2 linked regions of the Saccharomyces cerevisiae S288C genome follow. The gene in region 2 interacts genetically with the main gene of each other region. Each region holds a gene or a part of one and is shown on either strand. Other genes may lie near its edges.

What was found. Genes that interact genetically often act in the same process or in processes that back each other up.
Region 1: mutations in BIT2 (region 2) and HPF1 together harm fitness more than expected from each alone (negative genetic interaction), as found in Saccharomyces cerevisiae (2 studies listed by BioGRID).

Annotation. Positions count from the first base shown.
Region 1 is NC_001147.6:27,443-34,626, reverse strand, and holds HPF1 (mannoprotein), read left to right. Parts: upstream 1-3,020; coding exon 3,021-5,924; downstream 5,925-7,184. UniProt on the Saccharomyces cerevisiae protein: Involved in cell wall organization and biosynthesis.
Region 2 is NC_001134.8:741,654-747,318, forward strand, and holds BIT2 (Bit2p), read right to left. Parts: upstream 2,746-5,665; coding exon 1,108-2,745; downstream 1-1,107. Other genes in the region: SDH8 (Sdh8p), read right to left, coding at 507-923; EFM2 (S-adenosylmethionine-dependent methyltransferase), read left to right, coding at 3,199-4,458; HSM3 (Hsm3p), read right to left, coding at 4,708-5,665.

The DNA of each region.
Region 1 (7,184 bases), on a different chromosome or scaffold from region 2:
TCTATCTTAATTGCTCAATCCCAATTCCTAGATGGGTTGTTCTCCCCCAATGACAGTAATTTTGTCTTGTTTTTATACGTTTCTAATTGATATATTGAAGGACCAGAATGTAGCTCTATTTGAAAGCATGTGCGGCGTCTATAGATCTCTTGTAGAGGGTTCAAGCCACGGAAAAGAACAGTACTTCAACAGATTCGTGATCTGGAAAAGAAAGTATAATTTCTTTTTCCTCCAAAGAGGTTACATTCTTGTAAGCAGTATGGCTACAAAAAACCTTCAGGGTCCTAACCCTGAAGGTCAATTATAAGAAGCCTTTAAAAACAGCGCTTCCGCCATGTCATTGTCGACAGCTAGCTACGGCTGATTCAGCGCGCATACGATTTTTTTCTTTTGGCTAGCATAAATTGATCGCATACTGCCCAAAAAGAAACGGCAAAACGTCAGAGCTTAATGCTTCATTGACATTGCGGCAGCAACAAACTTCCGTTTGGCACTCAATGATCAGCACCTCTTTTCCACTTCAGCTGAAAATTTCAAGCAGTTGACTCTTGTTGGACTTTATTCTTATCTTTTTCTTTACTTAATTTTTCACATTTTAAAAGTTGTTTAGTTTTACCCTTTTTGGAGATTTTATTACAGCGATTGATTATGGGCCAGGTGAATATTGGTCAATTATTGAAATTTCATTTTATCTATGAGAAATAGATGAAAAAATTAGATAATTGTGTTGGGATTCCACTGTTCTCATTAGGTATGAATTTCTCCTGGAGGATACAAAAAAAAAAATTCACAAAAGGGAATCGATTTTTGTCTGTATGATATTATTGAGGCTTTCATTCATTTTACATATTGTCGTTCATTACCTTGTTACATTATCAATCCTTCCATTTCTGTATCCTTTAGATATGATGACTGCCTCTTGATGTTATGCCATATTTGCACCAGTATGTCATATATACTAGCAAGAAGACTGCTAGTCAATTAACAATAGTTGATTCTCGATTCAGCAACCATATTTTTGGAATCGGACTGAATTTTGTCGAACTAATTATACACCTTTCCTTGAAAGAATAAGCTGTTAGTGAGAAACAAGCAAGAACTTGCTAGCCGTCGCAGTTTGTCGGATTTCACTAAATAGACAAAACTACATGTAGAGTATCGTATTTCTATGGTAAAAGTTTACACCATCAAAAATTACCCCGCGAAGACTACGCAAATAAGGTTATACAAGTTAGTTGAGATGAAATAATCATCTCCACGTTCACGATTTAAGGCTAAATTGGAATGCGGCTAAAAAAGAGCGCAGTTACAAGAAAAAGCTACTATTTTATTATGCACGTGTGATAGCATTATCTTCAAGAATAAGCTCAAAAAAGAAAATGAGCTTAAAAAACCGCCTTTCCAGATAATTGAATGTAGCATATACCTATACATGCTTACCATGCCAAAAATATAACGGAACCACTACACATATCGGACCGTATTTTTATGGTTTATCAGTAAGGCCAACCATAAACACCTCAATGTTGGGGAGTCTGTCCTCGGCAATCAATGACGATGCCATTTCACCCTCATTCGAGTACTCGCTAACGTAAGAAAAAGGCACCCCGCAATGGGGTAGATCATACCCTAAAATGTTTCCTAGGTAGAAATAATAGTTACTAGGTAGGACGAAGGCAAGTACTACATAGCAGTACGGTTTCTGAGTCAGTAGTAACCCCTCAAACTTGCTCACACTTATCTTACCAAAAAATGGAGACGGACAATCAAATCTGAATTAAAAACACCGTCGCTTAACTGAATCAGAGAGAGAAGTTGAAACCAATGGTAGGAAATCAATCTAAAATAGAACACTTTAATTCTTAATAAAAAGAGGGGAACAACTTATTTTCTCCATTTGGCCTCGGCAACTTTCAGGGGGGCTTGAACGTATATACCGATCTACGTTGGAATTGACTGCTACTTCGTTCCACTAACCCAACTCAACAAATAAGCCTTGGAACCGCTGCAAGATTAGTCTATGTGACCGTGCCTTTTTTGCACTTTTAGAGAAACAGTGTTAAGAACTGTAATAACTGTTCAATTCTAAGCACTCAAACCGTGCTTGTACATATGCTTCAATGGCCTGCTCGATAGACCGATCACGTTTAATTTTTCTTTAATTTTGCCAAGGGAACGTTCTTTTCGTAGGCACCGCAATTTATTTCTAATGGATAAGTTCTGAATTTTGCTATGAATTAGTTAGTAGGGCCTACTAAAATGGCGTGGTATTTTTAAAGGGCCTTTACCAGCCACTCCTCAACAGAAAACCGTGCTCGCGTTGCAGAAATACGAGGTAGACACGCGCCTTAGGAACATAAAAATAAATATCTCGCGCTCACGGAAGGCAACCACTAACTCCTTTTCATCGAAAAGTGAGGTGTAGCTTACTAAAGCATTCCTCTTTATCCAAGTCGTATATTTTTCTTTATACTGCTAGTTCATTCTGAGCGGAGATTCCTGGCTAACTCTCCAATTGGAAATAAGGTAATAATGACTTTTCATGACGAATTGGGTGAAAATGCTTGGTGCTAGGCCCTGTGTTGTGGCTTTTTTCGGTAATAGTTTAATTTTCCAAAAAGGTTCCTGTGACTATCTTATCAAAGTAGCTTAGACCACGTCCTGCACGGTTTTGCAGACTGCTTAGGGGGTCTCTTGTTGTTATTAGCAGCGGAATATCTTTGTTTACTCATTAAAATGCCCCCCCGTTCGTTGCAAGGAACGCGCGCGCACAGAACTTGCGGATGCTTCCGCAGAAGTGCCCGTAGGAGATTTAAGCTAGCCCAGCGGTTAATCTACGCAGTTGCGTATTCGGAGTCCGCTCACACTTGCAAAAAGCATATAAAAAGCTTCATATTCATCTCATTAGTATCGGTTCTGCCATCCCATTATCTTAGGTTTATGCCTTTTCTGGTTCTCAAGTCAGTAACAACAAATACCCATCGTTGATTCTTTTTGGTAAGATCTCGCCTGTCAAAGAGATGTTCAATCGCTTTAATAAACTTCAAGCCGCTTTGGCTTTGGTCCTTTACTCCCAAAGTGCATTGGGCCAATATTATACCAACAGTTCCTCAATCGCTAGTAACAGCTCCACCGCCGTTTCGTCAACTTCATCAGGTTCCGTTTCCATCAGTAGTTCTATTGAGTTGACCTCATCTACTTCTGATGTCTCGAGCTCTCTCACTGAGTTAACGTCATCCTCCACCGAAGTCTCGAGCTCCATTGCTCCATCAACCTCGTCCTCTGAAGTCTCGAGCTCTATTACTTCATCAGGCTCTTCAGTCTCCGGCTCATCTTCTATTACTTCATCAGGCTCATCAGTCTCCAGTTCATCTTCTGCCACTGAATCAGGCTCATCCGCCTCCGGTTCATCCTCCGCCACTGAATCGGGCTCATCAGTCTCCGGTTCATCTACTTCCATTACATCAGGCTCATCCTCCGCCACTGAATCGGGCTCATCAGTCTCCGGTTCAACTTCTGCCACTGAATCAGGCTCATCCGCCTCCGGTTCATCTTCTGCCACTGAATCAGGCTCATCCGCCTCCGGTTCATCTTCTGCCACAGAATCAGGCTCATCAGTCTCCGGTTCATCTTCTGCCACAGAATCAGGCTCATCAGTCTCCGGTTCATCTTCTGCCACAGAATCAGGCTCCGCTTCTTCGGTTCCTAGCTCATCCGGTTCTGTCACAGAATCAGGCTCATCCTCATCAGCATCTGAATCATCTATCACACAATCTGGTACCGCTTCCGGTTCATCAGCCTCCAGCACGTCCGGTTCTGTTACACAATCTGGTTCCTCCGTTTCCGGTTCATCAGCTTCTTCTGCTCCAGGTATCTCGAGTTCAATTCCTCAATCAACCTCATCGGCTTCCACTGCCTCTGGTTCTATCACCTCCGGTACCTTAAGTTCTATTACCTCTTCGGCTTCTAGTGCAACTGCAACTGCTTCCAACTCTCTTTCTTCCAGCGATGGTACTATTTATTTGCCTTCTACAACCATCAGTGGTGACATCACACTCACCGGTTCAGTCATTGCAACTGAAGCTGTCGAAGTCGCTGCAGGTGGTAAGTTGACCCTACTTGATGGTGACAAATACGTTTTCTCTGCTGATTTCATAATCCATGGTGGCGTTTTCGTAGAAAAGTCTAAGCCAACTTACCCAGGTACCGAATTCGACATTTCTGGTGAAAACTTTGATGTATCTGGTACCTTTAACGCTGAAGAGCCTGCTGCTTCTTCCGCATCTGCCTACTCCTTCACTCCAGGCTCTTTCGATAACAGTGGTGATATTTCTTTGAGTCTATCAGAGTCCACAAAGGGCGAAGTCACATTCTCTCCCTACTCTAACTCTGGTGCTTTCTCTTTCTCAAATGCTATTCTCAATGGTGGTTCCGTCTCTGGTTTGCAGCGTAGAGCTGAATCAGGTTCTGTCAACAACGGTGAGATAAATCTTGAGAATGGCAGTACCTACGTCGTTGTCGAACCAGTTTCTGGAAGTGGTACAATCAACATCATCTCTGGCAACCTTTACTTGCACTATCCAGACACCTTTACTGGCCAAACTGTTGTATTCAAGGGTGAAGGTGTTCTTGCCGTTGACCCAACCGAAACCAACACTACTCCTATCCCTGTGGTTGGATACACTGGTGAAAACCAAATCGCCATTACAGCAGATGTCACTGCTCTTTCTTACGACAGTGCTACTGGTGTTTTAACTGCAACACAAGGCAACTCACAATTCTCCTTCTCTATTGGTACTGGGTTCTCCAGTTCTGGCTTCAACGTCTCCGAAGGAACATTTGCTGGTGCCTATGCTTATTATCTAAATTACGGAGGTGTTGTTGCTTCCAGCGCTACACCCTCATCCACATCTACCACATCAGGGGCTACCAACTCTACTTCCGGTTCCACTTCATTCGGTGCTTCCGTAACTGGTTCAACCGCTTCCACTTCATTCGGTGCTTCCGTGACTGGTTCAACGGCTTCCACCTTGATTTCCGGCTCCCCATCTGTTTATACCACAACATTAACATATGCAACAACCACAAGCACAGTAGTTGTCTCCTGTTCAGAAACAACTGATTCGAACGGTAACGTCTATACCATTACCACAACCGTACCATGTTCATCTACCACCGCCACTATCACTTCTTGCGATGAGACCGGATGTCATGTAACTACGTCTACCGGTACCGTCGCCACTGAAACCGTTTCTTCCAAATCATACACCACTGTTACCGTCACCCACTGTGACAACAATGGCTGTAACACCAAGACTGTCACTTCTGAATGTCCTGAAGAAACTTCAGCAACTACTACTTCTCCAAAATCATACACTACTGTTACCGTTACTCACTGTGACGACAACGGCTGTAACACTAAGACTGTCACCTCTGAGGCCCCTGAAGCCACAACCACTACTGTTTCTCCAAAGACATACACTACCGCTACTGTTACTCAGTGCGATGACAATGGATGTAGCACCAAGACTGTCACTTCTGAAGCTCCTAAAGAAACTTCAGAAACTTCAGAAACCAGTGCTGCCCCTAAGACATACACTACTGCCACTGTTACTCAATGTGATGACAATGGTTGTAACGTCAAGATAATCACCTCTCAAATACCTGAAGCTACTTCAACCGTCACCGCAACTAGTGCTTCTCCAAAGTCATACACTACTGTCACTTCTGAGGGTTCTAAAGCAACCTCATTGACTACTGCCATTTCCAAGGCTTCTAGTGCAATTTCCACATACTCCAAATCTGCAGCTCCAATAAAGACCTCTACTGGTATCATTGTCCAGTCCGAGGGTATTGCCGCAGGTTTGAATGCCAATACTTTGAATGCATTGGTCGGTATTTTCGTTCTTGCTTTCTTTAACTAATTTTTTTAACTGAGGAATTAAAAGTTTATTCCTCTGAAACGAGATAGGTTCTTAATATGCGTTTTATATACGCTTTGTGTAAACAGTTAAGTATTTTTTTAGCTTAATATTTGGATTTTTTTTATTTTTTTTATTCTTTTTGGATGAAATGGTTCCCTCTTCTGCCAATGAAGGGGAGACTAGGTTGATGTGTACACATCGTACACATTTTAAGGACACTTATTTCACTTATTGTCCACAGTAAAATCGTTCAGGCCATAATTAAATGCGAACTTAAGAGAACCTAAAAGTACCTCCCAACTTTTATAGTGGAGCTTCCGCTCTTTGGTCAGAAAAAAATCGAGTTCTGAACACTTGGCTTTATATTACAAATTTCTCCCTTCCAAGAAAGACAAGGGGTGCTTATCGCGACATGTCTCACAATAAACTTTATTATATTTATACTTTATTTATTAATAAGAGTTTCAAATAGGATTCTTGGAGAATTTTCAAAGCGTTTTTGCGTATAAGAAACTTTTCGGTTTGGCTCTTATCAGTTTACTGCCGATCTTTCTTCCTCACTGCTTGACCTGCCACTACGGAAGATCTTACCGACAATGATGTGAGCGGCGAGAACAAGGGAAATCTCGTAAGAATAGGAAACAACCTAACCTCATTTACTAAGAGAACCCGCAGGAAAAGATATCTTTTTGAGGCACAATTTTATGACCGCGTGTTTTCGAATTTTGACAGGGATCATGCAGGCAGAGATTTTCATGTCATTTGACAGCAAGTAACCCACAATCTACAGTCACACCCTTTTTGGCTTTTTTGAGGCGGGACTTTTTTTTTTAAGACATAATTCTTCAGCAGATTGAAATTCTGGTAACCTAATTGAGAAATCCCACGCATAATTGAGTTTTAACTTTCGAATTTTTCAGCAAGATAAATTAATGTCTCGCCCGGGCCATAGACAAAAGAAGAAAATCTATAAACATTCCGTGGATCGCCATGTGATATTTCTATTTAATATAGGCACATGGCTATGGCGAAACCTTAATGTGATACTTATGGTACATATATGTAACATGCTATAGTTACAGTAAGGATTGGCAACTTAATTCGTTTCCTTCGATTTTATACTCTTCGAACGTATTTGCAGTCATTGGCAGTAGAACATCATTTAGCACATCCAACGACTACCGTCGTTGTGCACGTGACACTCACCCCAATTGGACACTGACTTGAACTAAAATAACAGCGTGTCATATAGATAAGGAA
Region 2 (5,665 bases):
ATAAATATGTGTGTACGTGGTTAAATAGTATGTTTTTAGCATAATGCCTTATTTTGTACCAACAAAAACATGATAGTTCCCACATATCTTTTCGCCTGGGGAATACCAAGTGGGACAAACAAAACGTTAAAAATTAAATCCTTTAGAGTACCACAAATTCGCAAGAAACAAGATAGTTGAATTGTCAATCATGGCTAAGATAAGTATGAATGTGCCCAGTGTAAAGATCAAAAACATGCCAAAGGTAAGGTTAAAAAGCACTAGAAAGACTGTCTCCACGAAAAACATGCGAAATAGGTTCAATTCATACTCGAAAAGAATTCGAAGGACGCTCACAAGAAAGAGATTTTAGGCAAACATGAAACGTATGCATTTCATAACACACACATATATATATTATATATTCAAAATAAAGCATAACAACATACATATTGAAAAGTAAATTGAACGTTACGCAGTTTCATCAAATAAGAATAGTATTATTAAAAATTGGCCGGACCAAATATCTAGAAATCCGTTACTCTTCCGTTAAACGAATAATCGCCGTGTCTCAACGGGTCCTGCTTGGGACCCCCAACTTCACCAGTCTTGGGGTTAACATCACCTTCGAATTCAGGTATGGTCTTGGAAAATTCAGGCGAGAATGACCCAATATCGTTTTTGGTTAAAAGCGGTGAATTCAAACTCTCCTTTGTACGATCGCCGGTGGCCTGCGCATTATACTGATCTATTGCCTCTTGCGATGTGGCAATCCTCTGAAGTCTTTCGAACTCTTCCTGCTCTTCTCTTGGCAGCTTGGGAGGGCCGGGGATCCTTTCAGTAGTTATTTTTCGGGTGGCCATATTAAATGGTCGTCCACGTAGTAGATTTAAGGCTCCCGTGCGAGGATACCGATAACCTGTGCTTTTGATGGCGCACAACATTAGTTCTTCTTTTTATTATTTGGTTCTTTCTGACTCTTTAGCAAGTTAATATGATCTGCACTTTCCCCATTGGCCCCTTTATAGGGCGGAAAAGAGCATCTGTTTTTCCGGATTCTTGGAACAAGAAAAAGGAAATACACCTATCTATATGCCACTATTGTATATTACTAAATAAAATATTTAATTATATACTCATGCGTATGCCCTCAAGAAGTTCACCAATAATTCTTTGGTTTCTGCTGTTACCTTTTATGGTATTCAGGATCCCAAAACACTGCAGCAGCGTCAGTTTATCTTCCTCTGTGACGCCGTTCTGTTCTTCCTCGCTGAAAATATATCTTTGAAAACTCTTACTGGCACCGTCATTTGTATGTAGGAAGCTTTCGTAATACGGAAGAATGATGGAGTCTCTAAAACACTTTAATAAAAGGACATCAATTGACGGTGCGTACCTTGAAGGTTCAGATAGATATCCGTCAAGCCAGTAGTTACTATTTTTTTGGAAGCTTTTCTCGAAGGGCAGTAACACTGCCATCATGTCGTAGTAAACCTGTTGGTAAAACACCTTCCAGATTATGCCGACTCTTTTCAAAGCCGTATTTACGGTATCCTCATTGGCATAATTGAACACAATCTGGTTCTCTAAAATGTAAAGTGAAGTGGTAATGAATTCCTCGATTTCGGCCAAAAACCTTGAGTGCGTTACGGCAGCCTTGGTTTGTGTTTTCAAAGTGATATAAAATTCCAGCAGCCGGTCAATATCTTCTATTTTTGCTGGCAATTGCCATACCCTCTTGTTTTTAAATAGCTCCACAACTATGCTGCAGTATATACCCCAGATATTCCCCTCCAGAACAAATAACTCCTGTACGGTGAAGCTTTTATAGTTTGCTATCAAGGATGGCAAGTTTTTCAGTAAATCATGTAGTAAAGAAACATTAGTCGCGTCGAAAGCATCATCTTGGATCAGCGATAGAGCTGTATCATTAGGGTTGTTGTTAATGCTAGGGTTAAAGGAATATACAGATTTTCCAGAGTCAATAAGGCCTCCAGTAGAAGTATGGATAAACTGTACGGGTGACCTATGTTTACCATATGAAGAATGCAGAAATTTACTGAATGGGCTGGGAACTACGGGTTCAACGTCGTCTTTACCAATGGAATTATGCGGCTTGTAGGGTAAAAGCTTTTTTGCCATTTTGCTAAAGACATTACTGCCTTTGTTTGAATGAGAATGTCCTGTAGACAGTGAAGATTGTAAACTGTTCACACTCATATTAGATTTCGTATGAAACAATTTAGAGCCACTCCTACTTATGTTGTTACTACTTGTGCCGGTAATAACAGTGCCGTAGTTTTTTGACCCGCTCCTGCTTCGATTTCTCATATTATCTTTTGAATTGGTGAAGATGGACAGTCGCCTTTTATTGCCCCTTGAGTTGGAAGAAAATAAACTATCATTAGACGTGGTGTTCCCCTCCATTCGGTTACTACTTGATGAACCTATTTCGGAGTGACCATCGTTATTCTCCGTGCCTTGGCTGTACTCCTCTTCAATCGAATCCGTCGAGCGCCTTGCATTGGAACCATCATGGAATATAGATTGAAACCCCACCTGTGACCATCTAGGAGCGGCATCATGAGGAGATTTGGATGTTTTTAGATGCACATCTTCGTCGGGATGTGTCAGCGCTTGCGGTACTATATCAGAAGAAACACTATAAACTCTAGCTGGTTTGCGATTAGTTGCTTTTATGTTCGGGTTCGTGACGCTCAGTGAGCCTGAGGTAGCACTTCTTTTACGATTTAGGTCTGTTGCCATTGCTTGACTCTGTAGTTTAAGACTCGCCTAGCCACTTATGCTTATTGTGGTTTGTATTTTTTATTTACTGTCTTCTATCTTTCTCCCTTTAATTTTGACCTTATTTTAAAGCCCGCAAAGATCGCTGAAAAATTGCTAGTAAAGGTCGCATGCAAAATGGATAAAGTGCTCTTGTCAAATTATTTCAACACCTTCATTCGCAGTATAGTGGTATATTGGATTGGGTAAAGGAAAACAGGCGACACCAATATTGGTTTAAGCTAGTAGCGTATGCAGCTCTATCCAGGCATTAAAATTGGTTCACCTATTTCTGATAGTAGTTTTTTTTTTTCCAATCGTAAATTTTTTCTTCAATTTCGCGATGAGCTACAAAATAATAGTAGTGCAATCTGTATATTACTTTTCAAGTATCTAACTCATGCAAGTTAGGAGTTCCATAGCGGATATTTCACTATGTTTGATCCTCTCGATTTGTACACCCCTGATGACATCCAGGTTGAGGCTTTACAGTTCAATCTAGCAGAGAGAGAGCCAAAAGATCCTTGCTCACCGCAACGTGACGAAATATTAACGGCTGTAGATGAAGAAGAGAGTGACGACGATGACACCATTATCGATAATCTGGATCTGCCCTCCGTGAAGTATGCTCCGCCAGAAGTTATCCTTTGTATACTAATACTTCTGAAGCCCGATAGACAAGTAAACTTCAATCAGGAGACAGGGAAGAACAAATCTGTACTGGAGGTTTGCAAGAGTCATGGGCTGGAACCCGATCTGCTGAAAAGACTTTTGACTTGGTATACAGAAGAATGGCCTAACAAGAGGTTAAACTCGTTGGAAAAGATATGCAATAAAATCCCAATGCTGAGATTTACAGTATCCAAAGAACTACTGTTGGGCTACTATACTAGTGTATTGAAAAAATACAATAATAGTTGCGGATTGAATGAGGAAATCATACAAGAACTTCTTAAGGAATTGAGCTCAAGGATATCCGAAAACTGTGGGAGAACGGCCCAACCATCCATAGTAAGATATTTTGAATTAAGAAATCTAAGCACTTCCATACCGCTTCATGAACCCTCTTTAACGGCCGATAATCTTGGTTGGAAAACATGGGGATCATCTTTAATACTTTCACAATTAGTCGTAGATCACCTGGATTACCTACATACCACTAATGTGAACATGTTAGCGAACAGCGACATCAAACAGATTAAAGTATTAGAATTAGGAGCGGGCACTGGTTTAGTAGGACTTTCATGGGCCTTAAAATGGAAAGAACTTTATGGAACTGAAAATATAGAAATCTTCGTGACGGATTTACCCGAGATTGTGACGAATTTGAAGAAAAATGTGTCATTAAATAATTTAGGAGATTTCGTTCAAGCAGAGATATTAGATTGGACTAATCCTCACGATTTTATAGATAAATTTGGACATGAAAATGAATTTGACGTCATATTGATCGCCGACCCGATATATTCGCCTCAGCATCCGGAATGGGTAGTTAACATGATATCGAAGTTTTTGGCGGCATCAGGGACCTGTCACCTAGAAATACCTTTAAGGGCAAAATACGCCAAAGAACGAGAGGTTTTGAAATTATTACTAAAAGAGAGTGATTTAAAAGTAGTTGAAGAACGGCATTCAGAGGGTGTGGATGATTGGGGTGCCGTTAAGTATTTATATAGGCAAATCGTTCGCAATTAGTGGGAAAGAAACGAACGCGCTTAGGCGAATAGTTTTTCTTTATAATAAAAATCATGCATGCTACATAGACATTGAAATGTGAATTATAAGTACTTGCCAGACCTTACATACTGATTTATACAATTTATGGAGAAGAAAACTGAATGGGCCACCTCGCCAAAAGGTTAGTTTTTGATTCAGACAGGAATCAATACTGGTAGTACATTAAACAATCAAGGCCGCCTTTATAGTTGCGCTTATGCAACATAATCATCTGCAATCTGCAATCTTAGTTTCACTGCCTGTGGAATAATTTTTTCCGTTAACTGCTTTGGAGTATTCTCGCAATAAAGGTTCATACCATACACTTAACTTTTCTTCACCTTTGTCCAGTAAATTTCTCAAGGCAGAATTCCTATAATGCACAGTCTCAAGATCTATAATAGCACCTGCGCTCCCATCACCTATCAAGCTGCCCATCACCTTTGGCATCTCATTGAGCAGAAATTTTGAAGTGTATTCGTATCTCGTCAAGGTTTCTACTACTTGCATTTGTTCTAAGTACGGTAGTCTTAAGACAATCTCAGCACTAAACTTGTTTCTTATAGCATTGAAACATTCTTCATCTGCTGAAAGATTTCTCAACATTCCAATGCTGTAGCCACTGACGTGAAAATAGTTTTCGACCACATCTTTATGATATTTTACCAAGTACTGCGGATTAATTAATTCCAACCACTCGGTTATTAATTTTGCTTCGGACCCAATTTTTAAAGAATCTTTGTCCATAGTCTTGAATAAAGAATATTCATCTTCCTCAATTCGTGACACCTCTGCGAATAACTGTAAAAGACAATTTGTAGAAAAGGCCCTGACATCAGGATAGTTCTCCGTGTCTTCAAAAAGTTGAGCAAATACTGGCAGTATTTTTTTTACATGTCTTAAAGCCCAGTATTTATCTTGATTTCGTATTTCCAGCAAAAACTTAGTATAATAATTAACCAATTCGATGAAAACGAGGATATCTTCAACGGATTTCAGTATCTCTTCTTTAGTAAAGCAAAATATGATATCCTTGAACTCAGGACCGCTGATGAATTGAAACTCAATAGTCAAGAAGTCAATTAATCTGACAAAAGAAACCGTTTCCATTCTACCCTTTACGCTCACCAGGTATGGCAAATTATTATCAAATAATCGACGCCTAATCAATTCATCTGTACTCAAC